Alligator mississippiensis: one gene and its partners. The protein of the gene in region 3 purifies or fractionates together with the protein of the main gene of each other region. This does not show direct contact. Links are inferred from orthologs where the notes say so. Each region holds a gene or a part of one and is shown on either strand. Other genes may lie near its edges.

Region 1 (7,149 bases), on a different chromosome or scaffold from region 3:
CCCCTCCAACCACGAAAATCAGGGAAGCCACAGTCGCATGCAGGAGAGGCTGAGCACTGGTATAGCCCTGGCAGCTGCCCCCCCGTGAGTGGGTACCTGATTTCCAGGGGTATAGCGCCTCTTCTGAGCCTGAGTCCCCAGGGGGAGTGCAAAGCAAAAGAGGTACAGAAGCGAGACAGTCACAAATCTCAGACCCTCCAAGAGAGGCCATCTCAGGAAATGCAGAGCCAAGGAAAGCTGCCCTAGCCCCAAGACCCTGGCCACGCTTCCTTGGGGGTCCCTTCCAGTCTGTGGAGCCAGGCAGGAACCTGAAAGGCTGGATCAGACTCAGGCTGGGCTAGGAGAAGGGTTCCCAGTTCTCCAGAGTTGCTGATCTGTGCGCTGAGGTCAGAGGCAGCCAGACCCCAGGTCACAGAGAGACAAGGGATCCTGCCACACACTCCTGGACAAGGGCCTTCCTGGAACCAAGTGATACCTTTGTTTGGGGCAAAAAGCAGCCAGAAAGATGCCCCTTAGCTCATGGATTCCCTTCCCTACTGATGCCCCAGAGAGATCCAGACTAGAGGACAGGCCCATGCTAGAGCAGAGCTCAGCGCATGATGGGATTCAGAGGCCCAGGAGGAGATCCGAGGTGCTGGCACAGGCAGTGGGAGTCCAGGATGTGCCTCCAGAGTTGAGGGCTCTGTACTGCAAAGCGGGCTCTACCACTTCCCTCTTCCCAGCCTGGCAGTATCCCCTGCCCTCAAGGGGTCAGCACTCACTCTCTCTTCTCCCCCAGCTGGCAGCCATGTCTATGTCTGTTGCTCTTGCTCTGAACATAGAAGGGGCCATAGATGGCCACCACGCATGGACAAAGCATCAGAGGAGGCAATGGGAGAGAGAAACTCAGGAGAGAGGCAGAGGGCCCCACAGGTGCCAAAAGCCATAAGCCAGCCAGGTGGCCTCCCAGTGCCCCTCACCTCCTGCTGCTTCTCCTCATTGGGATATGTGTCCACAAACACGCCCAGCCCCAGGAAGTTATCCTTGCTCCCGAAGACGGGTCCTGCACGAGGGGGGAGGGAGAGAGAGATTGTCAGCCATCTGCCACCCTATGTCGTTCTGGACAGGGCCCTGAAGTCACACCCCGAGGGTAAACCAAGTCACGAGCCCCATCAGGAGCCACAACCCAGTTCATCCACCTGACACGCAGAGAAGCCTCCACTCGGCAGTGGTAGCATTCAAAGGCCAGTCAGACCACGTGGCTGAGGTCAGTGACCCAACCTGTACTGCTTAAGAGAGAAGCTGTACCCTGGAGGCACATAACCCCACCAACTCCTGTCAGTGCTCTGAGCATCCAGAGCACAGAGTAGCCACAGGGGGTCCAAAGCTGCAGAGTCGAGGGAAGCAGTGGACTCTCCATCACTGGAGAGATTCAAGGAGAAGTCAGACAGCTGCTGGGCTGGGATGATCTAGGCATGGCAATGCCTGTGTTCTGCTATGGGGCTTCTGGGCTTTGCTGGTTGTCCTCCCTGCCCCACGTAGCAGCAGACAGGGCGGGTTTAAACCTTCCCCAGAGGTACTGGGTGCTGGCTGCAGCCCAGGCTGGGAATGGGGACTGGGCTGTGGCAATGCTCCTGCTGGGACTCAACCCTGGGGGTTCCTGGCTGGAGAGTCTTGCTGTCTGCTCAGGCTCAGACTAATGCTGCATTGGGGTCTCCCCTGCTCAGACTGGTACAGACTGGGAGGGCTTTGCCTTCCTCTGTAGCGGGGGCATGGCTTCTGCCTGGGATCATTTATCATCTGTTAACCACCTTTTACAAGACGGTGGCTGCCCTGGTCCCCCTGTTTTCCCTGCAGCAGGGTCAGGACCGATGTCTGGTGTGGCACCAGGGCTGATGATTATTTTGCGGAGAGTTTAGATGATGGACATGTCTGGGAAGGTTTGGACGGGGCTGCCTCAGGCAGGGGGTTGGCCCAGCTGTGACCTCTGCCGGTCCCTTCCCGCCCCACTTTTCTTGTGAGTCTACAATTGTCTCCCCATGTTTCGCCACCACCTTCCTCAAAGCCACTCCCTGGGCTAGCACCTGTCTGCATGCGGTCCTTGGTGTACCAGAGGGCGAACCCATCGCCGTTGAGGTTCTTCTTGCCCTGGCCATGGATCTTGAAGTGGACCTGCATCTCCCAGTCCCGCAGGTAGCAGGGCTGTGAAGTGGAGAGCATAGGCATGGTCAGGGGCATGTGGATACCACAGGCCCAATGCTCCCTGGCTCCAAGGCAGGTCCCTTGGGCATCACGGCCATGCAGCCAGCACCTTTACACCCCAGTGTCTGGTTTCCTCACAAAGCAATTATCCCCCAGCGAAGCTCATTAGGAGCAGGGAGTCCATTAGATCAAGGAAACAAAGGGAAAGTGAAGGGGGGGGGGGTCCTATTCCTCCCTGCTCTGCATACCGGCCCGAGTCCAGGCTAGAGCTGACAGCCAGCCCCTTCATCCCGCGCTGCAGCACTCACCACGCGGTTCCAGACGGCGCCCTGCCGGCTCTGCTGGTCAGGCGTCAGGCGGATGAACTGGGTCATGACCATGGCGTTGCCCAGCAGGTCCCAGAGCGCGGAGCTGGATGAGCCCACGCCTGGGGGCAGGGAGGGAAGCATCTGCACCCACTGTGGCCTGGGGGGCAGTGCCTGGCTTCCCCCAGCACTGCGGGCTCAGCCCCCACCCTGTGACCATCTAGCTGCCCCCCAAGTGCCCTCAGCTCCGCCCCTGGGAAACAAAGGCCCGCCCCCACACCCTCAGTTCTCGCTTGGGGGCCGCAAGCCCCGCCCCTTTACCCTCAGTTCCAACCTGGGATCCCCTAAGCTCCACCCCGTCATCTCAAGCCCCGCCCCCAAGCCCCCCGTTCTCCCTGGGGGGGGTCCTAAGCCCCGCCCCGCCCCCACCCTGGTATGGCTTGGTGAGCGAGTGCTCGCGCTTGAAGTGCTCCTCGGTCTGCTCGGCCCGCGCCAGCACCAGCGTCGCCAGTAGCAGCGGCAGGGCAGGGGCTGGGGCCAGGCGCAGCCCCACACACCGCAGCCGGCCCTCCGCCGCCATCTTGCCCGCGGCCCCGCCCCGCGCGCTCATTGGTCGCCGGGGCGCCCGGCCTCCGCCGTCATTGCCCCTCAGCCGCGGGACTCCGCCCCCCCACCAGAGCGGTGCACGGCCATTGGCGGGGGGCCCGCCATCCCCACGCTAGGAGGGGAGGGGCGCTGCCGCGGGGCATGCCGGGGAATGGAGTGCGGATAGGCACTTCCTGTCTCGGCCGGCCCGTCTTAAAGAGCTCGAGTCCCCTCCCCCCCCTCGGGAGCCGGCGGCGGGTGGCGACAGAGAAACAGTTGCCGGGCAACCCTGATGTGAGGGGGTGGTTGCCTAACAACGGACGGCGTGGTGATGGTTGCCGAGTGACCCCCCCACCTGCCTTTTGCCATTGGAGAGGGCGGCTTAGGTTTGACATGGCAGGTTGCCGGTGACCCTGGTGTCAGTTGCTGAGCAGCGGTAGGGTCGCAGTTGCTAGGCGACCCCTGGTCCTGGTGGCATGGTGACGGGTGCCGTGGTGTCAGGGCTGTGGTCGCCTGGCGACGGGAGTAGCGGGCTGGTGGGGATGCCCGGGTGATGGTGGCTTTGCGTTGACGTGGTAACAGTTGCCAGGTAACCCCGGTGATGGCTGCTTAGCCACGCCATGGTACTGGTTGCTGGGCAACCCGCTCCCCACCCCCCCACCCCCTCTCCGGGGTACCGGGCAGGGGGTGCTGCCTGTGACAGCAGGGTTGAGGCGGGGGCAATGGCCCAGCGCCGCCACGGCTCCTCGGGGCCGCCTGCTCTGTTGCCACGGCAACACCATTCCGGGTACGGCACCGGTACAGCGGGGCGGCCCGGCCGCTCCTTCCCCCCCGGCCCCGGCCCCGGCCCCGGCCCCCTGCCGCGGATCGATCCGCCGCCTCCAAACAACAGCGCCTCCGGCCGCGACTCAGCTCCGCCCCCCGCATCAGGGCTGCCGCCCCGGCGGCTCTTCCCGCCCCTTTCTCGGCGGCGGCCCTGAGGGGGCGGGGCGGGGCCGGGCCGGGGGGGCGGGGCCGGGCCGGGCGGGCAGTTGGCGGCGGCGGAAGATGGCGCCGGGCGCGCCGCGGCGGGGGTCGCGGGGGCGGGCGCGGGGCGCCGCGCTGGGGCTGGCGCTGGGGCTGCTGGCGCTGGCGCTGCTGGGCCGGGCGGCGGGCGCGGCGGGGCTGGGCGCCGCGGGGCCGCCGCGCGTGGTGGGCATGCGGCTGGAGCCGGAGGCGCAGGCCCCGGGCCTGGCGGCGGGCGTGCAGGTGGGCGAGGGCAGCCACGTGGCGCTGCGCCTCTTCGGCCTGGGGCTGCCCGCGCACACCTGGGAGCTGGTGGCCTTCGCCGAGGCGCCGGGCAGCGCCAACGCCTCGGGGGCCGCCAACGCCACGTGCGCCGCACCCTCGCCCGACGTGGAGGTGGAGCGGGGCACCTGGGATGCGGGCGAGGCCTCGGCCGTGCTGCGCCTGCGGGTGCGGGCGCTGCGCAAGCGGGAGCGGGCCAAGGCCTACGTGCTGTGCACGCGGGCCGCACCTGGGCAGCCGTGGCAGCGCCATGCGGGCGCCGAGGGCCGCCTGGTGGTGGTGGAGGAGAAGCGGTCTCTGCTGCCCACGTGGCTGCAGGCAGCGCTGCTGGCGGCACTGCTGGCACTGTCGGGCATGTTCAGTGGGCTCAACCTGGGCCTGATGGCGCTGGACCCCATGGAGCTGCGCATCGTGCAGAACTGCGGCACAGAGACAGAGCGCCGCCACGCCCGCCGCATCGAGCCCATCCGCCGCCACGGCAACTACCTGCTGTGCTCGCTGCTTCTGGGCAACGTGCTGGTCAACACCACCCTCACCATCCTGCTGGAGGACCTCATCGGCTCCGGGCTGGGCGCTGTGGCTGCCTCCACCGTGGGCATCGTCATCTTCGGCGAGATAGTGCCGCAGGCCCTGTGCTCGCGGCACGGCCTGGCCGTGGGTGCCAACACTGTCGTCCTCACCAAGTTCTTCATGCTGCTCACCTTCCCACTCTCCTACCCCATCAGCAAAGTGCTGGACTGCTTGCTGGGCCAGGAGATCGGCACCGTCTACAACCGGGAGAAGCTGGTGGAGATGCTGAAGGTGACAGAGCCCTACAACGACCTGGTGAAAGAGGAGCTGAACATGATCCAGGGGGCCCTGGAGCTGCGCACCAAGACGGTGGAGGACGTCATGACGCCACTGCATGACTGCTTCATGATCCCCGCTGAGGCTGTGCTGGACTTCAACACCATGTCAGAGATCATGGAGAGTGGCTACACCCGCATCCCCGTCTACGAGGATGAGCGCTCCAACATTGTGGACATCCTCTATGTCAAGGACCTGGCCTTCGTGGACCCTGACGACAGCACACCGCTCAAGACCATCGCCAAGTTCTACAACCACCCCGTGCACTTCGTCTTCCACGACACCAAGCTCGACGCCATGCTGGAGGAGTTCAAGAAGGGTAAGGGTGCCACACCGTGCCAGGGCAGGCAGGCGGGCAGGCAGAGGGTTTGTGGGGGGGGGGGTGTCCTGGCCTGGGGTCACTGGGGTCAGGCCTGGTCTGGGTTACCAGCGTCTGGTCTGGCCTGAGCTTAAGCTGACTGTGGCCCAGCCTGGGGTAACTGGTGTTGCTGGAATCGGATAACTAGGGCAGGCCTGTTCTGAGCTACCCTGGGCCTGGCCTGGTCTACGATAAAGCGCATCTGTCTGGACTAGTCTGGCCGGGCCTGGGGTAACTGGACTCTGGCCAGCCGGGGATTGTCCTCCCTCTAGATGCCTGGCAACTCCTGGGCAGGCCCCAACTCCCTGCTGGGGCTCTAATGAGGCAGGGACCTGGTACCTGCCCAGGGCCGGGGCAGCTCTGGCTCCGGCTCCTTAGACCCCCGAGTGTCTCTGCTGGGTGCACCTGTCGATTCCTGGGCTGGGAGGGGGGAATCTCCCTGGGCAAGGTCTACCCCACTCCGGCCCATCCTTCGGCTCCAGCCAGGCCTGGGTCCAGCCCCCTGAGGGTCCATGCCTCAGCCTCTCCTGCATGCCCTAGCACACCCGAAAGTGAAAGTGCAGCGAGGAGAGATAGGACTGACTTCCCTCACCCCGGAAGTAAAAGGAGCTAGAGGGGGTGGGGGGCAGGGAGCTGTTAGGGGGTTAATTTTGGGGGGGGCTGACAACACAACTGATTTTCCCCCCTAACCAGACAGTTGCTGTGCTTTGATCTGAGCCTGGGGTGGGCACCCTGTGGGCTGTGGGGTGGGAGCAGGTTCTTAGCCCAAACTTGCTGGGGGTCAGTGATGCCCCAGCCTGTGCAGGCTACATGATGTGGCGTGGCCCTGGCCTAACCCAATCCCTGGACTGACACCCCCCCCACCCCTCCCCAAGGAAGCCATGGGTGCCAGCCATGCCCAGATTTCAGGGTTCTCTCCCCAGGGTGTTTCCCTGCTGGTTGGGGTCAGGTTGAGGCTGGCTTGTTTCAGGGATATGCTGTTCTACTGGCTCAGGTCTACACTTGCCCACTCCAGGCAACATGCTTGTGAGAGCAGCCAGGTCCAAAGGTCCTGGCAGGCACCTGGGAGCACCACCCCTCAGGCCCCCCCCCCCCCATGGTGCGGGCACAGCCGGGCAGCAGCCTCCACCCCAGAGCAGCTGGGGGATGTCCCTTTCTGGCCTCAGTTTCCCTCTTCCCAACTGCAAGGACCAGAGCATACCTGGCTGTGGGGGGCACAAAAAGGGGAGGGGGTGGCAGCTGGCGTGGTTCTGCCCATGGTGAGCTCACTTGCTATGAATAGCCCCACAGTTAGTGTGACTTAAGCTGTAATTATGGGCGTCTGGGTGGCTAGGGGGGTGTGGGGGGGGCATCCGCCCCAGCCTGGCAGGGCTCCCATAGCAGTTTGGAACAGGAAGTAGAGCAGAGGGGCTTGATGGGTTCCTTAGTGCCTATGGGGGTGGAGGCAGGGGGCTTTGCCTTGCCTTGCAGAGGGGGCAGTCAGTGCAATGCCCTGCAAGACCCCCAGTTAAGGGTCCCCATCAGCCAGAGGAGGAAGCCTGGGGGTGGCTGCAGCCTGGCTGGCCCTGACCCGCACAGGGAGGAGAC
Region 2 (7,897 bases), about 93 Mb from region 3:
CGCCCAGGGGATAACGGGAGACTTTCCCGACTTGCTTCGGTGTCTGGAGACAGAGTAGAGAGCGTGGGCCTCTGAGTGCAGCATGTGCCAGCCCCAGGCATCTGGGCCGGAGAGGCGATGGAGCTGGAGTCAGGCTGCAGAGCCAGGGGCAAGCTGGCGGATGATTGCCTGTTGGCGTGCAGGTCCCCCCGTTCACGATGTTGGGAGGCTGAAGGGCCTGGGGCTGTCAGAGGGGGAATGGAGGTAGGTCGCACTGGGTGCCAGCGTGAGCTGGTCTCAGCTGCTGTCTAGCTAGGGCACATGCATCAGAAGATGCATCCGATAACAAGATCAAGGCTCGGGGCCTAAGATTCCCCTTCTCCTCCCCTGCAAACAGACGCCCCAGTCGTATCCCCCTCCTGCTGTTATTCGCAAGGACTTGCTCAAATGCCGGCACCCTATCCTGGCACATCTACTGCAATTAGTTCTTCTTATCAAAGGAGATCTTCAGGGTGCGAATGAAAGAGCGGATTTAAGCTTTTCCCCACCTGTGAGCCACTTCATTAAAAAGCCATGAAACCCTGCCCGAGCCTTTCAGATGCCCCAGCAGCTCCAGCCGGGGGTGGTCCCCCATCCCAGCATGCATACGTGAAAAGGCCACTGCTAAATGCCAGCGAATTTGCATGACTTTGTTTCCACGGGCTCTTTGCATTTTCGGGAGAACGGAGAGGAAGTGCTAACAGGACTTTATCCGTCTTGCATTGTCACCTCCGGCATTGCGCTAGCGGCTCCTCCGCTGGGAATGGAGGTGACGGCTCTCCGGTTGGAGCTCTTTGGGGCCACGAGCCTGCTGCACATCTCAGAAACTGTCACGAGATCGTTACCCAGAAAGCAAACCTGGCCGCTCAGCTTCTCTCTTAGGAGGTGCCGTAGCTGTGCTCCTCAAAGCGCCCCGGCACCATTCACCCCCTTCCCAGGGCGCCGGGTGCTTGGGGCGCTGCTCGTCTAATTCAGAGATACGGGAGTAGCCAGCAGGCTGGAGCGATTCGGGGTGCTGCAGACTTGCTGTGGCATCGCGGTTAAGTTATTTAAGCTTTCTGTGCCTCTTTTTTTTTTAAATGGAGATAACGACACTTACCTCCTCCGCAGGGGGAATTGCAAAATGTACTGCTCTCAGGAAACAGGAGCATCTTCAGTGGGTTTAGCACATGCTTTTAAAGGCTCTCCTGAATCAGGGCCTAAAAGTATTTTCATAGCATCATTGAAAATGAGGGTGGGAGGGAGCTCAGGAGATCACACCTAGTCCAACCCCTGCTCCAAGCAGGACCGGCCCCAACTGCATCATCCCAGCCAAGGCTTTGTCTACCTGGGTCTTAAACACCTCCAAGGATGGAGACTGCACCACTGCTCTGGGGAGCCTGTTTCAGTGCTTCACCGCCCTCCTCATGGGAAAGTTTTTCCTAATATCAAAACTTAACTTCCCTTGCTGCAACCAGAGACCGTTGCTCCTTGTTCTGGCACCTGCACTGAGACCAGCCCAGCTCCGTCCTCTTTGCAGCCCCCCTGCAGGGAGGTGAAGGCTGCTAGTCAATCCCCCTCGGTCTTCTCTTCTGCAGACTCAATCAGCCCAGTTCCCTCAGCCTCTCCTCACCAGTCCTGTCCCTCAGCCCACAACCATTTTCACTGTCCTCCACTGGACTCTTTCCAACGTGTCCACATCCTTTCTGTCGTGGGGGCCACAGCTGGATACAGGACTCCAGATGTGGCCTCCCCGGTGCTGAATAGAGGGAAGCATCACTGCCCTCCATCTGCGGGCAATGCTTCTACCATTTCCAGACAATGAGGGTGGAAGGGAGCTCAGGAGGTCACATCTAGTCCAACCCCTGCTCCAAGCAGGACCGGCCCCAACTGCATCATCCCAGCCAGGGCTTTGTCTAGCTGGGTCTTCAAAACCTCCAAGGATGGAGAGTGCACCACCTCTCTGGGTAGCTTGTCCCAGTGCTTCACCACCCTCCTCGTGAGATTTTCCTAATATCCAACCTCATCTTCCCTTGCTGCAGCTTGAGCCCATTGCTCCTTGTCCTGCCATCTGCCTCCCGCCCCGAGAGCAGCCCAGCTCCATCCTCTTTGTAATCACCCTTCCGGTCATTAAAGGCTGCTCTCAAATCCCCCCCAGTCTCTTCTGCAGACTAGCTATGACTGCATGCAGAGTGACCCCAGCAGAGAGCACGAGGAGGCTCCGAGTGTTCCCTAGTGGGAGATACAAAGAGCTCGTCCCATTGATGGTAATTCTTGGCATATAACTCCCGGCCTAATTTGACGAGGGAGGGACCCTGGGCAGCTGAAGCCTGGGCCCTGCGCTAACTAGCCTCCATCAGAGGAGCGGCTCTCATCAATATTAAACGCTCGGCCCGCAGGAGCGCAATAGGCAAAGAAATGTCATGTTGGGTGCGGGGGGCCGCGCGCGCAGCAGGGAGGGGAGGGGGCCGCAGCAGTCGGGAGCCCGGAGGTTAATTTTTAATCGCCTCATTGTCATGACACGCACACGCGGGCCCTGCTAGGTTTGTAATAGAGCTGCAAAGTCAATCATGACGGCCAGGGAGGGCTGCTTCTCGGAAGAAACTCATCCCTGAGAGATGGCTGGCTCCCAAACGCAACCTTTCCTGTTTCTGCCGCTGGACATTGGTGCTCCGTACTCCAGCAGAGTCTTTCCCTGCGGCTCTGTACGCCCCTCGCAAAGTAAGCCTTCCGACCCCCTTGTCGCTGCATCGTTTGCTCACGGAGCTGGCGCTGCTTAGCAAGAGGAGAGGAGCGCTGGTACCATGAGAGCCTCGCTCCTCTGGAGCCAGGCGCAACGGCAAGGCCGGGCAATGCAATAGGTGGCTCCAGGACTGCAAAGCAAACTGCTCCCGTGCGGCTCATTGCCACGGCCTCCCTTAAGCCTCCATCCCCCTCTATACGGCTTTGGACGTCCCGTCATCTGTGTTTTCCCTGCTGTTCAAACCACAGAGGGGTCTTGAACAGCAAAACCCCTTCAGTGGAGCAAAGGATGAGAAGTTATCTGACAGTTTGAATGAGTTGTAGGGCAGCTGTCCTGACGGGAGAGCAGTGATGAGCAATGACATGGGGGATAGAGAAGACCGAGGGGGATCGAATAGCAGCCTTCACCTCCCTGCAGGGGGGCTGCAAAGAGGATGGAGCTGGGCTGGTCTCAGTGGGGGCAGATACAGGACAAGGAGCAATGGGCTCAGGCTGCAGCAAGGGAAGTTGAGGTTGGATATTAGGAAAAACTTTCTTACTAGGAGGGTGGTGAAGCACTGGAACAGGTTACCCAGAGAGGTGGTGGCGTCTCCAACCTTGGAGGTGTTGAAGACCTGGGTAGACTTGTCTGGGATGCTGTAGTCGGAGCTGGTCCTGCTCTGAGCAGGGGTTGGACGAGATGTGACCTCCTGAACTCCCTTCCAGCCTCGTTTTCTCTGAGTCTAAGACACCGAGGGGGAGGCTGGGACAGGAGATGAGCCCACCGCATTGGGGTTTGGACTGGAGCTGATCTGCCCCCAAAGTGAACGGCTTCGGTGCAAGCTCCCGCGCCTGGCCCTCTGCCAGGGCACGTCGGCAACGCAGGCGGCATCTGAAGTCTCATCTGCTGCCAGAACAAATGTTAAACCTCAGCCCCTGGAAACAACGCACGGCTGGATGTTACCCAGGCAGTCACGTGTAGCCAGTGTCCTCGGAAAATAACGTTTCCTATGATCTACTCGATTCAAGCCGACGCTGCATCCAGGGACCGAGCGCCAGCGCAAATTCAGGATTTCCTGCTTAACTTCCCTCTCGCCAGCAGCGCTTGGAGGAAATAACTCGCACTTCACCAGAAACATACTTACGTGCGGACGTAAATATATATATATATATATATATATATATACGTACACCTCAACATATGCGAACTATTCCAATAGGCACATAGCTTTAAATACCCAAGTGCACATTTGAATATGTTAAAGTCCATAGTTGAGCATGCAAATGCATGCTTAAAGTGTATCTTTAAATATATTTAAGTGTAAATATTTAAGCATGTATTTCAATACATTTAAACATATATTTCAATACATGCATACATCTATACACACACATGTGTGTATATACATGCGTATATATACATATATACACATATATGTGTATATATATATCCATATATATCCATATATTAGACCAACTTCAATAGTTGGAAAACAATTTTTAAGCAACCTTTATATATATATATATATATATATATATATATATATACACACACACACACACACATATATATACACACATACACACACACATATATATACACACACACACACACGTACGTGTGTGTGTGTGTGTGTGTGTGTGTGTGTATATATATATAAAGGTTGCTTAAAAATTGTTCTCCAGCTGCTGACGCCGGTGTGCTGAAAGCTGTGGGACTCGCCCGCACAGCCGTGTTTCTCTGTAGATAAAAAACTATTTTTGCAAAAAAACATGAAAAGAAAAAAGTCGCCTTTCGGCTGGGAGGGGTGGGGGCGGGGCTTCCCGCGGGCCCGCCCCCCGAGCGCGCCCCGAGCGCGGCCGCCAGGTGGAGCCGCGGCTCCTTCCCGGAGCGCAGCACCGCCCCCTTCCCCCCCCCCCCCGCCCCCGGCCTTGTCCCCCGTCAGCCATTGGCCGGCCCCGCCCTCCCGCCGCCAGCGCGGCGCGGCCATTGGCTGCGCCGCCTGCGGCCCCACACGCGGAGTCACGCGCGGCGGGGGCGGGGCCGGCTTGCGGCCATTGGCGGCTTGCGGCGGCGGCTCCGCCCCCCGGCGTCGGGGTGGGCTGGGCGGCGCGCGGGGCCCGGCAGTCGGCGCCCGTCAGCGGCCGCAGGCGGGCGGGCGGGCGGGCAGGAGCTGCAGCGCCGCGCCGCGCGGGGGGAGGGGGCCCGAGCGAGGATGCCGCAGCGGCCGCCGCAGCCGCAGCAGCCGCCCCGCGACGCCCGGCCGCGGCGGGGCTGAGCCCGGAGTCAAGATGGCGCCGGGCCGCAGGGCGGGGGGCGGCCGGGGGGCGCTGCTGCCGCTGCCGCTGCCGCTCCCGCTGCTGCCGCTGCTGCTGCTGGGCGGGCACTGCCTGGGCGAGCAGCTCGCGCCCGGCGCCCTGGCCTCCCCCGCCGCCAGCGCCGCCGGCCCTGAGGAGACGGTGATCATCGGGCTGCGGCTGGAGGACACGGACGACGTGTCGTTCATGGAGGGCGGCGCGCTGCGCGTGAGCGAGCGCACGCGGGTGAAGCTGCGGGTCTACGGGCAGAACATCAACAACGAGACGTGGTCGCGCATCGCCTTCACCGAGCACGAGCGGCGGCACCGCGGCGCGGCGGCGCCGGGGGCCGGCCCGGGGCCGGGTGGCGGCAGCGGGAGCGACGGCGGTGGCGGTGCCGCCGGCGGCCCCCCGGCCCCGCAGCGCTGCGGCATCCGCACGTCGGACATCATCATCCTGCCGCGCATCCTGCAGACCCGCCGCACGTCGGGCATCATCGAGATCGAGATCAAGCCCCTGCGCAAGACGGAGAAGAGCAAGTCGTACTACCTGTGCACCTCGGTGGCGGCGCCGCCCGGCGCGCTGGGCGCCGCCGAGGGGCCGGGCTGGACGGAGACGACGTGGATCTACCACGACGGCGAGGACACTAAGATGATCGTGGGCGAGGAGAAGAAGTTCCTGCTGCCCTTCTGGCTGCAGGTGATCTTCATCTCGCTGCTGCTGTGCCTCTCGGGCATGTTCAGCGGGCTCAACCTGGGGCTCATGGCGCTGGACCCCATGGAGCTGCGCATCGTGCAGAACTGCGGCACGGACAAGGAGAAGAACTACGCCAAGCGCATCGAGCCCGTGCGGCGCCAGGGCAACTACCTGCTGTGCTCGCTGCTGCTGGGCAATGTGCTGGTCAACACCACCCTCACCATCCTGCTGGACGACATCGCCGGCTCGGGGCTGGTGGCCGTGGTGGTGTCCACCATCGGCATCGTCATCTTCGGCGAGATCGTGCCGCAGGCCATCTGCTCGCGGCACGGCTTAGCCGTGGGCGCCAACACCATTTTCCTCACCAAGTTCTTCATGATGATGACCTTCCCGGCCTCCTACCCGGTCAGCAAGCTGCTGGACTGCGTGCTGGGCCAGGAGATCGGCACGGTCTACAACCGGGAGAAGCTGCTGGAGATGCTGCGGGTCACCGACCCCTACAACGACCTGGTGAAGGAGGAGCTCAACATCATCCAAGGGGCGCTGGAGCTGCGCACCAAGACGGTGGAGGACGTGATGACGCCCCTGCGGGACTGCTTCATGATCGCCGCCGAGGCCGTGCTGGACTTCAACACCATGTCGGAGATCATGGAGAGCGGCTACACCCGCATCCCCGTCTTCGAGGGTGACCGCTCCAACATCGTGGACCTGCTCTTTGTCAAGGACCTGGCCTTCGTGGACCCTGACGACTGCACCCCGCTCAAAACCATCACCCGCTTCTACAACCACCCGCTGCACTTTGTCTTCAACGACACTAAGCTCGATGCCATGCTGGAGGAGTTCAAGAAAGGTGGGGACCGCCGCCGTGCATCGGAGGGGCGGGGGGCATGAGGGGCGGCCCGGTTACAATGTGTGGCCGAGCTGGCCTAAGAAAAGAGGGCTGCTACCTTTTTTGGGGAGCTCTTTCACTCTGCCGTCTCCACTGGAAGTAGAAGTGGAGCAATTTGGAGATAAGCACCTGTCTGTCGCCTGATGTGTGCACCTGGTGATGGCATGTGTCTGTTTCCTGTCAAGCCGGGGGTGCATGTGTGTGAATGCAGTCTTTTTTGGCTGAATGTTTTTTTGTGTATCTGTATTCATCCGCCGGCAGGTACTGCCATGGGTCTGCACCCTCCGTGGTGGCATCTCCAGCCCTGTAGGCTGGTCGTATGTCGGAAGAGGGGCGGGTGGGTGATATAGGTCACGAGCGTCTTGCAGGCCGTTTGCTCGCGCACATGCACGTGCTGAGATCAACAAGGCTTTTGAATTCCCGTCACCAGTGCAGCCGGGCTCGCTCTGCCTGGTGCATGCTTGTGTGCAGTTCGCGGCTGTCCTCATTGATGCTTCAGATCTGTAGCTCGTGAATAGCTTTGGGGCTTTTTTTTTCTCCCTCCTCCTTAACCATGGGCCTTACAGTTCACTTCTAACTGATTTGCTAATTACACGTGCCGGCGTTACAGACCTTCCCCTCTCCTCTCGTTTTTGCCCTGGCAACCACAAGCTGAGCCACATGTCGATATGGTTTTTTCTGTATCTGTGCACTCCCTGCTGTGTGGAGTAGCATGCGCTTTGTTGCCTAACCAAAACTGGACTGTGGTTTTTGTGATGGTTAGCCTGGGGCTTTTCAGTTTTTCCTTGGTTGGGGCGTAAGGGGAAGGGTGGGAGGGTCTCCTGGTAGACGCCTCTTAACTTCTCATTGTGCGTTTTTTATTGTTGCAAGCAATCGTTCAATAACTCTAAAACCTGTTCCTCTCTTTCAGCTGCAGCACGCAGGGAAACCTTTTCAAGGGGTTGTATGCAAGGGGTGGGAAGATGCTCCAACCTTGCCCATTTTGTGGGGTCCCGTGCTGGGAGACTCGGAGTAGTCTGCGGTGGGGGAAGTTTATCATGTCCTCGTTCAAAGTACTGTAGAAAAGTTCAGTCCCCGTGAGAGCCTTCCTGAAGGAGGAGATCTTTACCATTGTATTAACACCACAGCCAGGTAAATGGGGAGTATTTGAGTTAACCTTTTCTCAAGGTAACTCTGACACTCGGGTGAACTTTGTAAACTGCACTCAAGAGTTCTTCTGTGCAATAAAATTTGTAGGCTGTGTTTGATCTGCACGCTAGGCTTTGAAGGGCTCTCTCTGGTTGACCCACTACTAAT
Region 3 (7,039 bases):
CAGCACTAGTGCTTCAAGCTCCCTGCAGACTCAGGAAGGTAAATGTGGACCAGTTCCATTGGGGTCGTGTTTTCAAGGTTTCCTTTGCAACCACAGCTGTTAGCAGAAATTGCTGAAAGGAAACAGAGATTGCTGCAGCAAGGATTGGATTTTGTGGCAAATCCCACAGCTGGGGGATAGTCGGGGCCGGTATTATACCACGCTTGTACCACCCTAAATAATTCTTCCCCTCGCTGTTGTTTACTCTATCAATGTATCTCCACAGTCTGCTTATGAGCTGAGAAAAGCACCTGGCAAGCTGCTGCATCCTCTTTATACCCTGCTCTTTTCCCGTGCTCTCCATCTCCCGTAATTGCTAGCTGCTGACTTCTAGCACAAATCAAATTGCTTTGTTTGGTAAGCAACATAAACCATGATTTTCTCCAGGGTTCACAGTCATTTGTTTTTTCTTCCTCCCTGGCAAGATTTTCTCCCAACAGTGACCATTATGTTGTATTTGGCTTTTGTGCTGCAATCATCTTGTGTTGGCTAACATGTGGTTTCATGTTTTTTATCACAGGTTACAGCACTGCCAGTTTCCTCCTGATCTCGCCTGCATGCTAGATGTGCTGCCGACACATAAAGATGCCTCTAAGAGCAGCAGGTAAAGAACTGTATGTATCTAACTTCAGACAAAGAAATGCCCCTCTTACCTGCCCTTATATTCTCTGCACGTGGGATCTCAACCGACATTATGTATGACACCTGCTGGGAGATGGGCAAGGAATACAATGGCTGTATTTCAATGAATGCAAAAAGCTGCGGCTTTGACTACAGCTTTTAAGAACTGACTTCTTGTTTCAATTATCAGTCATGACAATGCTTTCCTCTACAGTAAGGCCTCCAAAATTACTGAACAGAATGGATCTGCTTTAAGAGCATGTGTTTCGCATATGTCTCTGTATTCAAAGACATTCTGTGACCTCTCTCCTGCCAAAAAATGTTTCTAAACCGCAGCTATTTTTTGGATGCAACGTGGTTAAGAGCACAAGGTGGCATCACATATCCTCAGACAGGCATTGAGGAACAGCATCTCCAACCGAAATTGTTTAATGGAAGCAGGATGCAACTACCTGAGCTGGAATTTCTCTCAGACACTGTGTTTTTGGAATCAGATGTCCTGGATTCAGGATGTCCTGGATTCTTCCCTTGCTGTCCTGTGTAACGAATATAACCGTGTTAGCTGACGGGCCCAGAATCTTTTTAATTGCTCTGCTGCTGCCTACCATGGCCCTGTTCTGTGAATAATAAAAGGGAGTTCATTCTCCAGGACGGTTGTTCTGATGCTTCGTAACAGTACCACTAAACCGACTCATTCAGACACATGCCTTTGGCCTGTTGGTTGTGAACCAGCTGAATACATCCCCAGGGCCATCTGTGAAATGCTGCCCTGATGGAGAGGCAATGCTGTCTCTGAGCTGGAAGAAGCAAGCAGGAGATGCACAAAGTTTGATGAGCAAGTGTTTCTGAGAAGATGATTACTGCAAGATGAATGTGATGTTTTCATATACAAGAAGGGAGCCAGAGAGGCAGATATCTTTGCACCACTCTCAACTGCAGAGGGTGTGGTGAGGTCGGCTTCCCTGCCTCTGGTGTGGCTCCTCTCTTTCTCTCTGTCTCTCAGTCCTGCAAGGTTGGTTCCCACAGGAAGGTAGTTCTTCTTCTAAGACATTATCTCTAAATGAGCGTGGAAGTCATTACAAAATTTCATCGTCCTTGAAAATAACCCCATAGCCTTTTGCATATTGCTCTGTTCAAATCCTGGCTCCTTATATTCCTGGATTGTTTCCTGTGCTCTCCTAATAGAGGGGAATACTTGGGCTGATAGCCCAGCTTTCTCTGTCATTACCACTCTGGGCATCATAGTCGCATGGTGACCCACTTCCAGCACCTAAAACTTAAAAGACTAAGTGATTCCCCTCTCCTCTGTCTGGCAGAATTTCAGCAGCAGATATGGAGTCATGCTAATCTTTCTGTCATGCTTGGTATTTTCCTGCCATGGGCTGGGCTCATCACATCATTCTCGTTTTTCCACTTTACCCGAGAGGCTCCCAGTTTTACTTCCACGGGTTTTTTTTTGCAGGCAGGAATCCAGAACTCCCATTTCTACACAGCTGACAAATTAGCTGGATAGGGGAGGAAAGAACACAAAGTTCGTAGCATCTCAGGTGAAGCAAGTCCTCCCACGTAACCCCCATCTTATGCTGGGAGCCCAACTTACAGAAACAAGTTAACTTGTGCTCCCTCCATCAGTTGGTTGCGGCATATAACGGCCACCTCCATCTTCACCTACACTTGTGATTCCCAGCCAGGGTGCCTTGAGATCCGTTCAAGGGTGCCGCAGAGCATTAGCACAGCTAGGTGTCCAGACCTGATTCACAAGACCAGTTCAGAGATTTCCAACAGGACTTCATAGTTTTAAAAGCATTCTGACCTGCTGTGATCTTTCTGAGTTCTTTGCAAATAATTGCTCTATTATTTGTCTGTAGTCAAAAGATGAGCACAAACTACGAGCTGGCATTTTCCAAGGGGCCTCGAGTCTAACACTGGGTGCCTTGAATCTGAAAAGGTTGAGAACGACTGACCTACACTTTTCTTACGTATACAGTACGGCCGGCGCTGCACACAGTACCGGTCAGGTTCGAAAGAATATCCAGGTCCCTGCCCAAAGGGATGACAGCGGGTCCCAATCTTTTTGGAGTCAGGACTTCAAACCCACTTTCTGGCAGGCTCAAAACCACAAACTAACTGCCCTTCTGGGCTGAGTGCAGCCAGGGTAATAATCTGTGTGGTTCATAATCCCACTGGCAAGGGCTACGAACCCACTCGGGGTCATGACCCCTAGTTTGGCAACAGCCGGCCTTAAGGATTTCCAGTCTGCAGCTGAGGCGTTGGGACATCTGGACTGTGTTCTTCACTGTCCCCATGACTCGGCATCTGGCCTTGAGCAATGCAGTTCCTTCCCCCGCATAATGGGATTTATATTTCTGTATTCAAGAGCTCAGCTTTCAGGGCTGCAGGGACAAACTGTTACACCGGCACAGGACAGGAGTAACCCCGTTGTTACATCACTGACGGCAGCAGGATCCAGACTCCCTGCAACCTGTGATACCGCTAGTGTTCACTTCCCGCACCCCAGGCGAGGTAGCCCCCCTTCCCCGGGTGCATCCACAGTGCTTCTTGGCTCCTTTCGAACTCTGTTCTCTTATTGCAACCCCTCCATGGACACAGGAGAGCTGCACATGTGGCGCTGTGCCTGTGCCTTTCATGCACTGGGCATCAAACTGGGGCCTAATGGGACAGATCCCCGCCCAGGTCCCTATCCCTGCCCCTGGGGACACGCACAGAGCAGCAGGGGCTCTGGGAGGGTGTCCCCCGGCCCTGTGCCCTGCAGCAGTGACCTCAGCAAGCAAAGGTCAAGGCAGGGAAGGGAAAGGGGAAGGGGGGGAAGGGCAGGAAGTGGATCAAACCAAAGTACTGCTCTGCAGGGGGGGTATACCAATGCCAGTATGATGGGGAATGGAACTTTAAGGGGGAAATGGGCCATACCAATCGTGTGATGGGGGGGTGAATGGAGCATACTAAGGCTAGCTGAGTGGGGGGTTGGAAAGGAGAGGAAAAGGCGTCATAGGCATTCCAAAGGAGGGGAAATGGCTTGTACCATTGCTGCTTTGAGGGGGGGAGGTGGGTTCTACCATTCCTACATTGGGCACGTACCAATGCCAGCGGCGGGGGGGGAAGAGACGGGTTATACCATGAGGAAGGCGGTGCCGTGCGAGTGCTGCCGGGAAGCGAGCGGACCGTACCAAGGGCGAGGGGTGTCGCGGCGGGCCGTACCAAGCCGGGCGGCGGTGAAGGGGGGGCGGCGGGGCCCGCGGGCCGCCCCGTTCGGGGCGCGGGGGGAGGGGTGGGCGGCGCGCGCGGAGCCGTTGGCGCGGGGGGAGGGGCGGCGTCCCGCGCGGGCTGCGCCACGGGCGGCTCCCCCCGCCCCGCCCCGCCCGGCCCGGCCCGGCCCGGCCCGTCCCCTCCCGCCGGCCCGCGTGGGAGGCGCCGGCCGCTCGCTCCCCGCTCGCTCGCACGGAGCCGCCGCGCTCGATGCCCGGGGTGAGCCGCCGGGGCCCGGAGGGACGGGGCGGGGAGCGGGGCCTAGGCCGGCGGAGGAGCCCCGGCCCTTCACGTTCACCTCGGGCAGGTGGGCGCCGTCACCTGCCCCTGCCTGCCCGCCCGCCCGGCGCTGCCTCCAGGGGCGCGGCTGGACTTCGCCCGTCCGGCCGGCCTGTGGCGCGGGGCCGCTCCCGCCGGGCGGGCAGGCGGGCGGGCGGGCGGGTGTCCCCCCCCACCCCCCACCGCCACGGGTGTCCCCGGCCGCCCCTCCTCCGCCTGGGGGCGACTCCGTGGGTTCCTCAGACTTGAGGGATAATGCTCTCACTTACTGATTTGAAATAACGGCCGGGGGGCGGGAGGGCGAGCGAGCGAGCGAGCAGTCTGTTGTGTGCTAGGCCCGGCGGGCGGGGGGAGACGCTTCATGTGCCAGCTTTATACTTTGCCCACCTTTCCGTGTTCGCACGCTTCCTGCGCGAGCTTTGCCCACCTTATGCACGTCCACGTTTTTATTCGCGAGCTTTGCCCTCCTTGGTGCACGTCCAAGCTTTAGCTGCGGGCACTGCCCAACTTTAGCCGCGGGCACGACCTGTCTTAGCAGGATCGAGTCGGCAGCTTATTGGCCCGTCGAAGGTTCGGCGTCTCGGTGTCGCCGTTATTGTCGGAGGGGGTTTCGTAGCAGCCTTCAAGCCCCCAAAGGGGGTTGAGAGGGGATGGAGCTGGGCTCGGTGGCGGATGACAGGACGAGGAGCCGTGGGCTCGCGGTGCAGCGAGGGAGGTTGAGGTTGGATGTTAGGAAGTGTTTTCTCACGAGGAGGGTGGTGAAGCGCTGGAGCGGGCCACCCAGAGAGGGGACGGACCCTCCATCCTTGGAGGGGTTTAAGACCCGGCTAGACAAAGTCTTGGCTGGGATGATGTAGTTGGGGCCGGCCCTGCTTTGAGCAGGGGGTTAGACGGGACGTGACCTCCTGCGGTCCCTCCCAACCTCATTTTCTACGATCCTGTCGCCGGACGTGCATGCGAGCACCTGCAGAACCGGGTGACTTGTTTTTTGACACACGACATGCCGGTGGTAGATTAGACCAGATCTCTCTCTCAGCAAGCATCGTGACTGATAGTGACCACCGCCAGATGCTTCAGAGCAGGGTGGAAAGAATATTACAACACACAATTAATTAACTATCGCAAGCATGGAGGTTTTTCTATCCCCGTCAGTTAACAGTTTACGGCCTGAAGCGTGAGTGTTTACATATCCTGATTTTTATGTCTAATCCTTCATTTAAGCCCAGTTAGCTTTGCCTTCCATATCATCTTGTGGTAAATGAACTCTGTGATTAAATTGTGGTGTGGGGCGCATGACAGGTTTCTCATTAGTTTCATTGGATGTGTGCATTTGTGCGTTACAATTGTATGAGTAGAGAGGACTGGCTACTTCTGTCCTCACCTCTTGTTTCCATCCTTTCTATACTAAACCGTGCTGTTCTTTGCAGCCTGTCATACAGAAAGCCTGGAATAATTATTGTTGCACGTCCTCAGTGTTAACAGTTGCCTCCTCAGCTTAACCGAACTGTAGATGGAAGTTTCTGGTCTTAGATTGAATGTGGCTCTAGGTCTTTCCTGTCTCCAGTTACATTTTCTAGATGTACTAGAAAGTTATCCTAAGTTCATCAAAATGAGCTGAGTTTTTTCTTCCTGTGACTTTTCTGAATAATTCTCTTAATTGTGCAAAGCTGTCATTAAGCTGCCTGTCCACGTGATCAGTTAGTATCACTAATTTGAGAGACTTGTCATTTTACGTCTTACGAGCAATACCAATTTGTGTTGCCAAAGGAAATGGACACGGAGCTTTTGCTGTCTGCAAAATGCGGCACTTTGTGCAGTTCAAACATCTCAGCATCCTTATGTTGCAAGGGGCTGTTAAAACCGTCAGGCTCCCACACTTCGACAAAACTTCAGTTAGTTGTATCAAAGGTAACTACTGGGTTTTTGCAATTTAAACATAGCTCTGGGGATTGCTAACATGGATAATTTTGAACTCCTTACTGCTCTTCATTAGGTGGACCATTGCTTTGGGCTGTTTTAAGGCATTTTTATTTTTAGGGGCCCTAGTTGAAATAAACTGGAGACATGACTTAAACAGCATTCAAATGCTCCCCTGTGAACTGGTTTTGAGTACAGATGGATGTGGTTAAACCGCTTAAAAAAGTGCAAATTGAAACATTTCTCTTTAGCAAAAGGATGTACCTAATTTTCTTTGAAAACCCAAACTGAGTATCTGTTCATTTCCCAGTGTTGGATTAGCTAATAAGATGTTCTCTTCTATGTATTTGGTGTTGGTTGTAAATTATTTGACCTCACCCAAATTCTGGAAGGGAAGATGAGCTATTCCAGTCTTCACTGAAGTTTCAATGTGAGAACAGAGCCGCGCTGAGAAAAGCGTCGTCTTGGAACTCCTGACACTGCTTTTATTTTTTTATTCTCTCTTGCTGTATTTTTAAATTGGGAGTTTAGTCTCAGCAGTGAATATTTTTTCTTACTAATGCAAGCTGCAATCTGTTTTCTGCCTTGTTTTAAGGCCTAGGACGGTGTGACTAGGTCCAGCAAAAGGAAATGAATGAGTCATCAGCAGCAAACTTGTCAGCAAATCAGGAGGGAACTCGTAGGCGGGTGGATAGGGAGGAACAGTAGAATTTCTTGACCTCACCCCCCTCCCCATCTGCAGGCACGTGTCATTATGAACAAGCTTCCTTCAGAGATTAAGAATTTTTTTTTCCAAGAAACTGTGGAACTAGTAGCCTGTTTGCTATGCAGAGAGATGACATATCTTAGAGAGAACTGTCATTAAGCAAAGTCCTTCAGAACTCAAATTCACCCATTGTTTTAAAGTTGACTAGATTGA
Region 4 (7,721 bases), on a different chromosome or scaffold from region 3:
GCACCAATACATTGGTCCGATATCGGATCGGTACTGATATAAAGAAAAATGGCTGTATGGATATTGGCCCCATAAATGCCTGTGCTGCACACAGCCACAGTACAGCACTCAGGAAGCAAGAAGCAAAGCTAGTAACGTGGAGAGCTATCTCCAGCTGTTAAGTCCAGTGTAGTGGAAGGTGAGAAGGGAAGGGATGCTGGACACGCACGTGCGCGTGGGCACGCCCCCCCCCCCCCCCCGTGGTGAGGGAGGGGCAGGTGCTGCCCAGATGAGCCAGGGCTGCAGCTTGATGGGGGGGGAAGAAGGCAGCTCCTACCACTGCTTGCACGCCATGATGGCAGGGTGGGGGGGCATGAACCCCTGGATCTGCACAGGGCAGGCTGCAGCCAGGGCTGTGAGGAGCTCTTCTCGGCAGGGGCTGGGCTCGGAGGAGGTGCTGGCAGCACTGGGAGGATGCTGCATCCACCTCAAATTCTGCTGACGCTCCGCTCCCAGCACTGCCTCAGCTCTTCCTGGCGTGTGGGTGGAGGCAAGGCATTGAGCAAGGGCTGTGCTGGGTGGCTGGCAGCACTGGGAACAGAGCAGCAGTGAAATATGGAGTGCGTGCAGCATCCTCCCAGTGCCACCAGCGTTCACTCTGAGCCCAGCCCCCCACTGAGAAGAGCCCCGCACAGCCCTGGCTGCAGCCCACCCCACACAGATCTACAGGGCACACGTCCCTGTGCCCTCCCAGGGTGCAAGCAGTGGTGGGAGCCGTCCCTCCTTCCCCCAAGAGCCAGGGGCATTGATCTGCTCCCTGCCCCATATCCCTTCCATCACACCAGGCTTACCAGCTGGAGGCATCTGTATTGGAAATCTGATTGGAATCAGCCAATACACCTTCATAAATATTGGTTATTGGTATTGGCCCCCAAAATCTCTATTGGTACACTCCTACTAAATATAGCCATGAATTCAACAGCTAACTTTCCCTAAACTTTCCATCTCAAATGGCTAAGGCACAAGGTTAAGTTACCTACCCATCCTTATGCAACAAGCTTGGCCCAGACCACTAGCTAAAATTTTCTTGGCTAAAGGTCCTTTGCTTACATTACCTCCACAAATGCTCCCTCAGCAGTCAATGAATGATATTGCTGCTAACTGCCAAAACTAAAGAAACACAAAGTAGGAACAGTAAAAGAAAAATCTTGCATTTATCTGAAGCCATTATTATAATCCTTCTCAAGTCACCTGTACCCATGATTTTCATATGGCATTTGTTTTATAGTTGTTTATATATTACTTATTTTGCTGTATGCATCTGGCATAAGATAAATTTCAGCTATGATCAGAAATACCAATTTTAAACTAGAACTGAAATCTTCTAGCGAATTCAGATTAAATCTAGCAAGCCAGCAAGTTTTGGACAGAGATTTGCTACAGTAGATAGAATAAAACACATTTAAGATCAAGTTTTTTTTCACCACTCACCTATTTAGCCTAGTAAGCAAATTAGTACATTTCCCAGGTCTCAGAGTAATTCTAGAGCTAAAGCAGTAATCTTCAACTTTAGTCAGATAATACATGCCAAGGCTCATCACTGACCTAGGAAAACTACCATTACCACTATGCAAAACTAAATCCTTCTCTCTTTTGCACCATAACACAAGAAGCCTCCCACCCTGTCCGTTCAAGAAAGGGCAACATGCAGCATTTCTAAGAGAATGGGAAAAATAACAGTTGCTACATACATAGTCATCTTTTTTTGTTCCATAGGAAGCTATATAGTCTGCATGTTTCTCCAGAAGCAGTGTGCTTAGGGCATCAGGTTTTATTATAACATCTTTTTGTGGTGTCCCCTAAAAAACAAAAAAGCAAAATAAAAATCAAATTCTGAATTGTTACCGGGTAAGCGGGTAAGGTCTTTACCATCTAACACAAGGGTTAGCAATGTTTTTGACCAGAGTGCTAAAAATACACCAAGTCAAGGCATAGGCCAGGGTTGGGATGCCAGGGGCAGATCACAGGGGAGCCATGAAGGGCCCAATCCTTGTTGCTGGCGGTGGCTGCACATGCCTTTGGGTAGACTGTGTGGGAAGGGCAGGGTTGCACTGCCCTGCCCTGCCCTGCGCACGAGATGCACGTGTAGCCACCGCCTGGCAGGGAGCTGGTGCTGGACCCCTGGATCCCGCTGCGAACGGCTGGCTGCCTGCCCCAGCCGGCCTGGGCTCTAGGCAGTTGTGGCAGACTGCAAACATCTGCCCTGGGCTCTGGAGCACTGGCTGCATGTGGGCCTCTGGGCACAAGATGGAGAAGGGGCTGCAGCAATGCAAGCCTGGCCTCTCCCCTGCCACCCACCCAGAGCTGCACCTGCTGCCAGCCACCCTTGCAGCCTCCCAACCACCTGCTGCAAGCAGCCCCTGCTCTGCTCTGCGGCCGGCAGCCACCGCCCAGCGCCAGGTGGCTGTGATGTGCGGACCAAAATGGCCTCCGTCCCCTGCTCTGGCACGTGGTGGGGGTAGCTGACCCCCGCCCTAACGTTTTTGATAGTGGCTTTCAACAAGACAGAACAGAAGCAGCCACAACGGCCGCACCTCCTCTCGTTTTGTCCCCTTCCTTCCCCCGCCCCCCTCCCCAGACACCCCCCCTCCCCCGCCCAAGCGGTCACGTCTCCCGTCACCGCCTCTTCCAGTTACAGGAACAAGGACTCGGCCCAAGGCGGGAGGGGGAACCCCTCCGGCAGACGTGCCATAAATGAATCCCCAGGCGCTCCCCGAGGGCCACCGCGCCCCCCACGCCTGCCCGCACTACTGCTCCCCGCCGCCACCGGGGCAGATCCCTCGTGGAAGCGCCCCCTCGCCCCGGGAAGCGGAGGCCCCGGCCCCGGCGAGCCAAGCCCGGCCCAGGGGACGAGGCCGCGCCCGCTGCGGGCGGCGAGAGCAACCCACCATGTCGGCGGCGCCCGTGGGCCCAGGGGAGGAGGCGGCGCCCCCGCCCGCCCCCGCGCAGGACCCGCCAGAGGTGTCTGCGGCGCTGCCTGCACAGCGGCACCAGCGCCAGGGTTCTGCCGGGTGGGGCGGAGTCCGGCTGCTGAGCAGAGGTGGCTGGCGCGCTGCCTGCCCCGAGCGCCGCACGAGGACCCCAGCTGCCTTGCGCAAAACAGCAGCGCCCAGATGACTCTGCCCCCCGCCCCATGGGCGCTCGCGCCCTATTGTTTTGCGCCTGCGCGGTGGGAGGAGGCCGCCCGCGCCGCGTCACAGCCGTGATGCGCCAGTTCTGCAGCCGGGAGAGCAGCGGGCCCTTCAGTCCCGGTTACAGCCGTTATACGATGACTTGGTTAATCAGGCAATACGTTTGGACGGGCCGCACAGTGCGAGGTATTGTCGCGGGATCAACACGGCCGTCCAGTTATAAAAAAAGAAAACCGGCGACAAAGTTAGTGCTTAAAAAAGTGCAGCCTTATGGCTGGTTTCCTGCTTCCATTTGAACCTGTGGCAGGGCCCTCCGGGGCTAACTGCCAAGGGGACCCGCAGGCAACACCCTGCCTCCTCAGCTGTAGGAATGGCTCAGGGTCCTGTGCTGCCGCCCCACTGGGGCCGTGCTCTCGGGGCCTTTGCTCTTTTAAAGGCTGGTATTTCCTTGGCATCTCTTGTCATCTGTTCAGGCTGCTGCTATCACCCTGATGATATGTCATAATCCCACCTGAGTTTAGCGTGCTTTAATTCACTTTAAAAGTACTCCAGAATTTACAAAACACTTTTTGCACATGAGCCTAGAAACTTCACTTCAATCTACCGGATACAAAAAATTATGAACCAAGTATAGACATTGGACTTATGGTGCATTATAATCCGCCTGCCGTCCGATAACCCTAGGTAACCTCTACGACATTTTACCAACAATATTCCCCTCCTTTCCCCCCACCTATTTATTGTCTCCCATTCCCTCAGATCCTCACTGTCATGTATTTGCATTTCCACAGACCTACATTTTCCATATTGGCTTCTATTCCACCATGGAGACATGGGCAGACAAGGTTCCTTGGGTTCCTCTGCCTATATCCTTAGACCAACACGGCTACAACCTAAACCCCTGCACCATGGAGACATGACATTTCTTTTCTACCTAAAACTTTTACAATCTTTGAATTCTCCTCAGCCTGAAGAAGGGCGCAGGTATCCGAAAGCTTGCAAAGAAATGGCAAAGAAAGCCCCTTGCAGCTCCCCTGCTGTCTGCCTCCAGCACACCAAATTGAGGCATGGGTAAAAGTTGGGGAATTTTTGACGCTGGCCAAAAACATTGCCAACCCCTGCTCTATAGAATTTCTAGCTGAGGAAGTGAATCAAATAAGAGCTGAACAGTTATGTGCAAAGAAATGAGAATCTGCAGATTTGCTGCTCTAGTTTTCTCAGTGTTGGTGCACTCTGTTGGGCAATCTCTCAACACAGTAAACTACAGGCAGTCCTTGGACTTAAGATGCGGTTTTCAGGAACCAATTGTGTCCTAAGTCAAAACGCAGTCCTTGGACTTAGGACGCAGTTGGTTCCTGAAAACCACGTCTTAAGTCAAAACATTGCAACTCAGAACCAATTTTCTCATAAGAAACAATGTTATAAATGTGGGATTGGTTCCTGAACCAAGGCCCGATACCCTATTTTCACCAAAAATACCCCAGAATCTTGTACTCGATCAATTATATGAGTAATATAGCTACATTAATGTATTTATACTGTAAATAGCAATCATTGATTTGCAAGGACTTCTTTGAAGCGACTTTGCTGGACTTTTTGAAGGGCTCTTGGTTGGACTTTTTGAAGGGTTCTTGGCTGAAGTCTTCTCAGAAGTCTTGGCTGCAGGTTTTTTTGGAGTCTTGTCTGTTTTCTTAAAGTGTCCAAGGAAGTTTGGACAGATGTTTTCCAGGGAGATGAGCAACGCAGCAAACTTGTTCGCTGGCGTAGTGTCGCATCGGATCAAGCATTATAAAGTCAAAACTGACATCATAAAGTTGAAACAGGGTGTCAAGTTATAAATGTTGTAAGTGCGAAACGTAACTCGAAAAGTTCTAAGTCGAGGACTGCCTGTACACAGTTTGGCAAGTCTGTATTAGAACACAGAACTCTAGACCAGAAAAGATGCAAAGAAGATTTTTCAATATTTTTTTGCAATATTTTTCTTGAAGTCTCAGAAGGAAATGGCATTCTTCCTTTGCTAGAATAAAATGCTGATTATTGCAACTGTACTATTAAGCTGTCTGTGTGTTATACACCAAAAGTGGGCACACTCTCAAAACAGGATAAAAAGATATGTGATTATAAGTTTGCAAAGTACTCAGGGACCAGTCAGGATGAAAAATTTTATATAAAATGTAAAGTAGCATGTAGAGCTGTGCCAAGAAAGGAAAGTCTGCTAAATGTGAATTATGAATGTTGTGTTTCCCTATCTGCATCACTTCAATAACTTTGCATGATGGACTTTCTCCAGCTAGATCATTTGTAATAACAAGATTAAAACACACAAGGAAGTCAGTTACCTGCACTATAGATTGAATAGATTCTCCTCTTTGAATTACATCAAGCACAAAAGGCAAAAAAAATTAAACAGACCCATCAGTACTTTTGACTTTGGATATTACATTTCAGTTGGTGATTTGCCATAATAATGAATCACCCTCAAAAGAATCTGTCCAAGAAATTAAGTAAATAGGCATCTGAGAATGTGATCAAGAAACATCTGTCACTGAACTAAACATCTCAAAGGAAATTGCCCCGTTCAGCAGTTTCTGCCACACCTATTTCTATGTTTGGACTGATGGAAGAAATGACAGACTGCAAATGCTGAATGTACAAGAAACAAGATTATGTAAGTCACTGTAAGGCAAGTAAGCACTAAATAATCTCACAGATTTCCCAACAGAGCAAGCTCTAAAAGAATGCACAGCTTTGTGAAGTGGGAAGAAGAAGCAATCTCAAAGCATTTTGGTGGAAATCATTCTGTTTCCTTTTCCATTGCCTGTGTGACTCAACAAGTTAAAAGTTTAACTGAATTTCAGGCATGTTATGGTTAACCAAGTGAATTGGATTGATGAATCTTCTAAAGCAGTGGTTGTCAACCGAGGGTACACATACCCCTAGGGGTACTTAAAAGAGTTATAGGGAGTACGTAGAACTGATGTGGCTTCTGAGAGCTGCAATGGGGAAACTCCCCCTGGGCAGTGAGATCTGCCACAGGGGAACCCCTCCCCCCACGGGTCCCTTCACCCCTGACTAAGGCAGCACGATTTGCCCGTGGTCCAGGAATTATGTGAGAGGCAAAGATTTTTGGGGGTATCTTTTACTGGACCATCTGCATGGTTGGAATAGTTAGACAAGCTTTCAAATCCAAGTATTCTTCATCAGGAGAGCCCCGAGTTTGTCTCCAGTGCTGCCACTTGCCCCAAGGAACAGAGCAAGGTTACTCTGAGATAGCTTCCTACCCAGTCAGCTTCAACTCCCTTACTGGACCTGGCAGCAACAGTAAAGAAATGTCAGCTCCAGGTGCCTCCTGCTTTAGGGTAGGAAAGAAAATTGGGGGACAGTGATTCGATCTGTTGATTTGGATCATTGTCCCGATTTAATTCAGTCGAATCTGAATCTGAAGATTCAATGCCAATTCGGAGAATCAGCAATTTGGCCATAGACACAGCTTTAAATGTTTTTTCTACATAGTTTGAGGTACCAGGCACGGCTCACGAAAGCTAAGATGGTGGGGTGGATGGAGTGTCCCACAGGAGCACAGCAGGGGGCCCTGTGTGCTCAGCGGCAGACCCGGAAGTGGACCAGAAGTACTTGCCAGTCCACTTCCAGGTCTGCCAGGTCCCCCCCCGGCTCAGCAATCAGCCGTGGGGGGACCCTGGGTGCCCCCCCAGACCCAAGAGGCACTGCTAGGTGCAAGCTTTCCCCTGTGCCCACTCATGTCCGGCCAGTAATTCCAGTTAATAGAATTCCCGGTTACTTAAATGCCAGATAACAAAGATTTTACTGTAATTTTTATTTGCTCTCTTCTGGATTCTCCATGTAGTTCAGCTCTGGGGTGCTCAAAACTGAACACAGTGCTTCTGTTAAGGCTGGTTGGGGGGAGGGTACAGATGAGTTTGTCATGCCCAGTCTAAACTGCTCTTAAAAACACCCAAGGAGGGTGTTCCACAATCTGTGTAGGTAATTTGCAACTTGTCCAGCTTCTCTTTAATAAAACCATACATAGGGGTACTGGCAATAATATAGTAGTAGTTCTCTGTGTTTTTCCTTATTCTGTTTCTTCCTTTGGATAATTTTGATTTTTGTAGCTGTGACAACTTAAGAACACTTTGAATCGGTGCCAAGTGCATAGAAAAGCAGAAAAAAATGTTTTGGAATAGCTTGACCACCACAATGTAGAGATGTATGCCATTAGTATAATCTAGCCTACAAATTGGCAGGAATAGTCCCCTGAGAATATCCTCCTCCCTAGCTACTACGGAGCTAACAAAAGGCTCATTCCTAGCCCCTTGCCAAGGTGGTATATTGGCAGCGTAGCACATCTTTTTACAATATAACTGCAAAAAGTGAGAGTTCAAAATAGATAAGTGACCTTCACTTTGTAGAATATTTTGGGGCTTTCCAGTACTCTTATTATCTTGAATTATATTGCAAATTAGATACATGACTGCTGGCAAAAAGCTGAAGCCATATACACTAAACTCCAAAAGCAGAGATTTTTTTTTTCCT

Evidence for each region.
Region 1: the proteins of PTP4A2 (region 3) and CNNM4 purify together in Homo sapiens (affinity purification with mass spectrometry; 6 studies listed by BioGRID and IntAct, counting the BioPlex papers as one, with this or other methods). This does not show direct contact. The link is inferred for Alligator mississippiensis from reciprocal best matches to the Homo sapiens genes PTP4A2 and CNNM4.
Region 2: the proteins of PTP4A2 (region 3) and CNNM2 purify together in Homo sapiens (affinity purification with mass spectrometry; 4 studies listed by BioGRID and IntAct, counting the BioPlex papers as one, with this or other methods). This does not show direct contact. The link is inferred for Alligator mississippiensis from reciprocal best matches to the Homo sapiens genes PTP4A2 and CNNM2.
Region 4: the proteins of PTP4A2 (region 3) and RABGGTB purify together in Homo sapiens (affinity purification with mass spectrometry; 3 studies listed by BioGRID and IntAct, counting the BioPlex papers as one, with this or other methods). This does not show direct contact. The link is inferred for Alligator mississippiensis from reciprocal best matches to the Homo sapiens genes PTP4A2 and RABGGTB.

The regions. Positions count from the first base shown.
Region 1 is NC_081830.1:10,489,272-10,496,420, reverse strand, and holds the start of CNNM4 (metal transporter CNNM4), read left to right. Parts: upstream 1-4,140; 5' UTR 4,141-4,268; coding exon 4,269-5,523; intron 5,524-7,149. Other genes in the region: LMAN2L (VIP36-like protein), read right to left, coding at 97-129, 960-1,042, 2,064-2,181, 2,490-2,608, 2,916-3,096. UniProt on the Homo sapiens protein: Probable metal transporter. The interaction with the metal ion chaperone COX11 suggests that it may play a role in sensory neuron functions. May play a role in biomineralization and retinal function.
Region 2 is NC_081829.1:99,037,696-99,045,592, reverse strand, and holds the start of CNNM2 (metal transporter CNNM2), read left to right. Parts: upstream 1-4,894; 5' UTR 4,895-5,010; coding exon 5,011-6,562; intron 6,563-7,897.
Region 3 is NC_081829.1:5,801,948-5,808,986, forward strand, and holds the start of PTP4A2 (protein tyrosine phosphatase type IVA 2), read left to right. Parts: upstream 1-4,022; 5' UTR 4,023-4,143; intron 4,144-7,039.
Region 4 is NC_081828.1:22,511,317-22,519,037, reverse strand, and holds the start of RABGGTB (geranylgeranyl transferase type-2 subunit beta), read right to left. Parts: upstream 3,009-7,721; 5' UTR 2,931-3,008; coding exon 2,928-2,930; intron 1,839-2,927; coding exon 1,731-1,838; intron 1,715-1,730; exon of another isoform or gene 1,471-1,714; intron 1-1,470. UniProt on the Homo sapiens protein: Catalyzes the transfer of a geranylgeranyl moiety from geranylgeranyl diphosphate to both cysteines of Rab proteins with the C-terminal sequence -XXCC, -XCXC and -CCXX, such as RAB1A, RAB3A, RAB5A and RAB7A.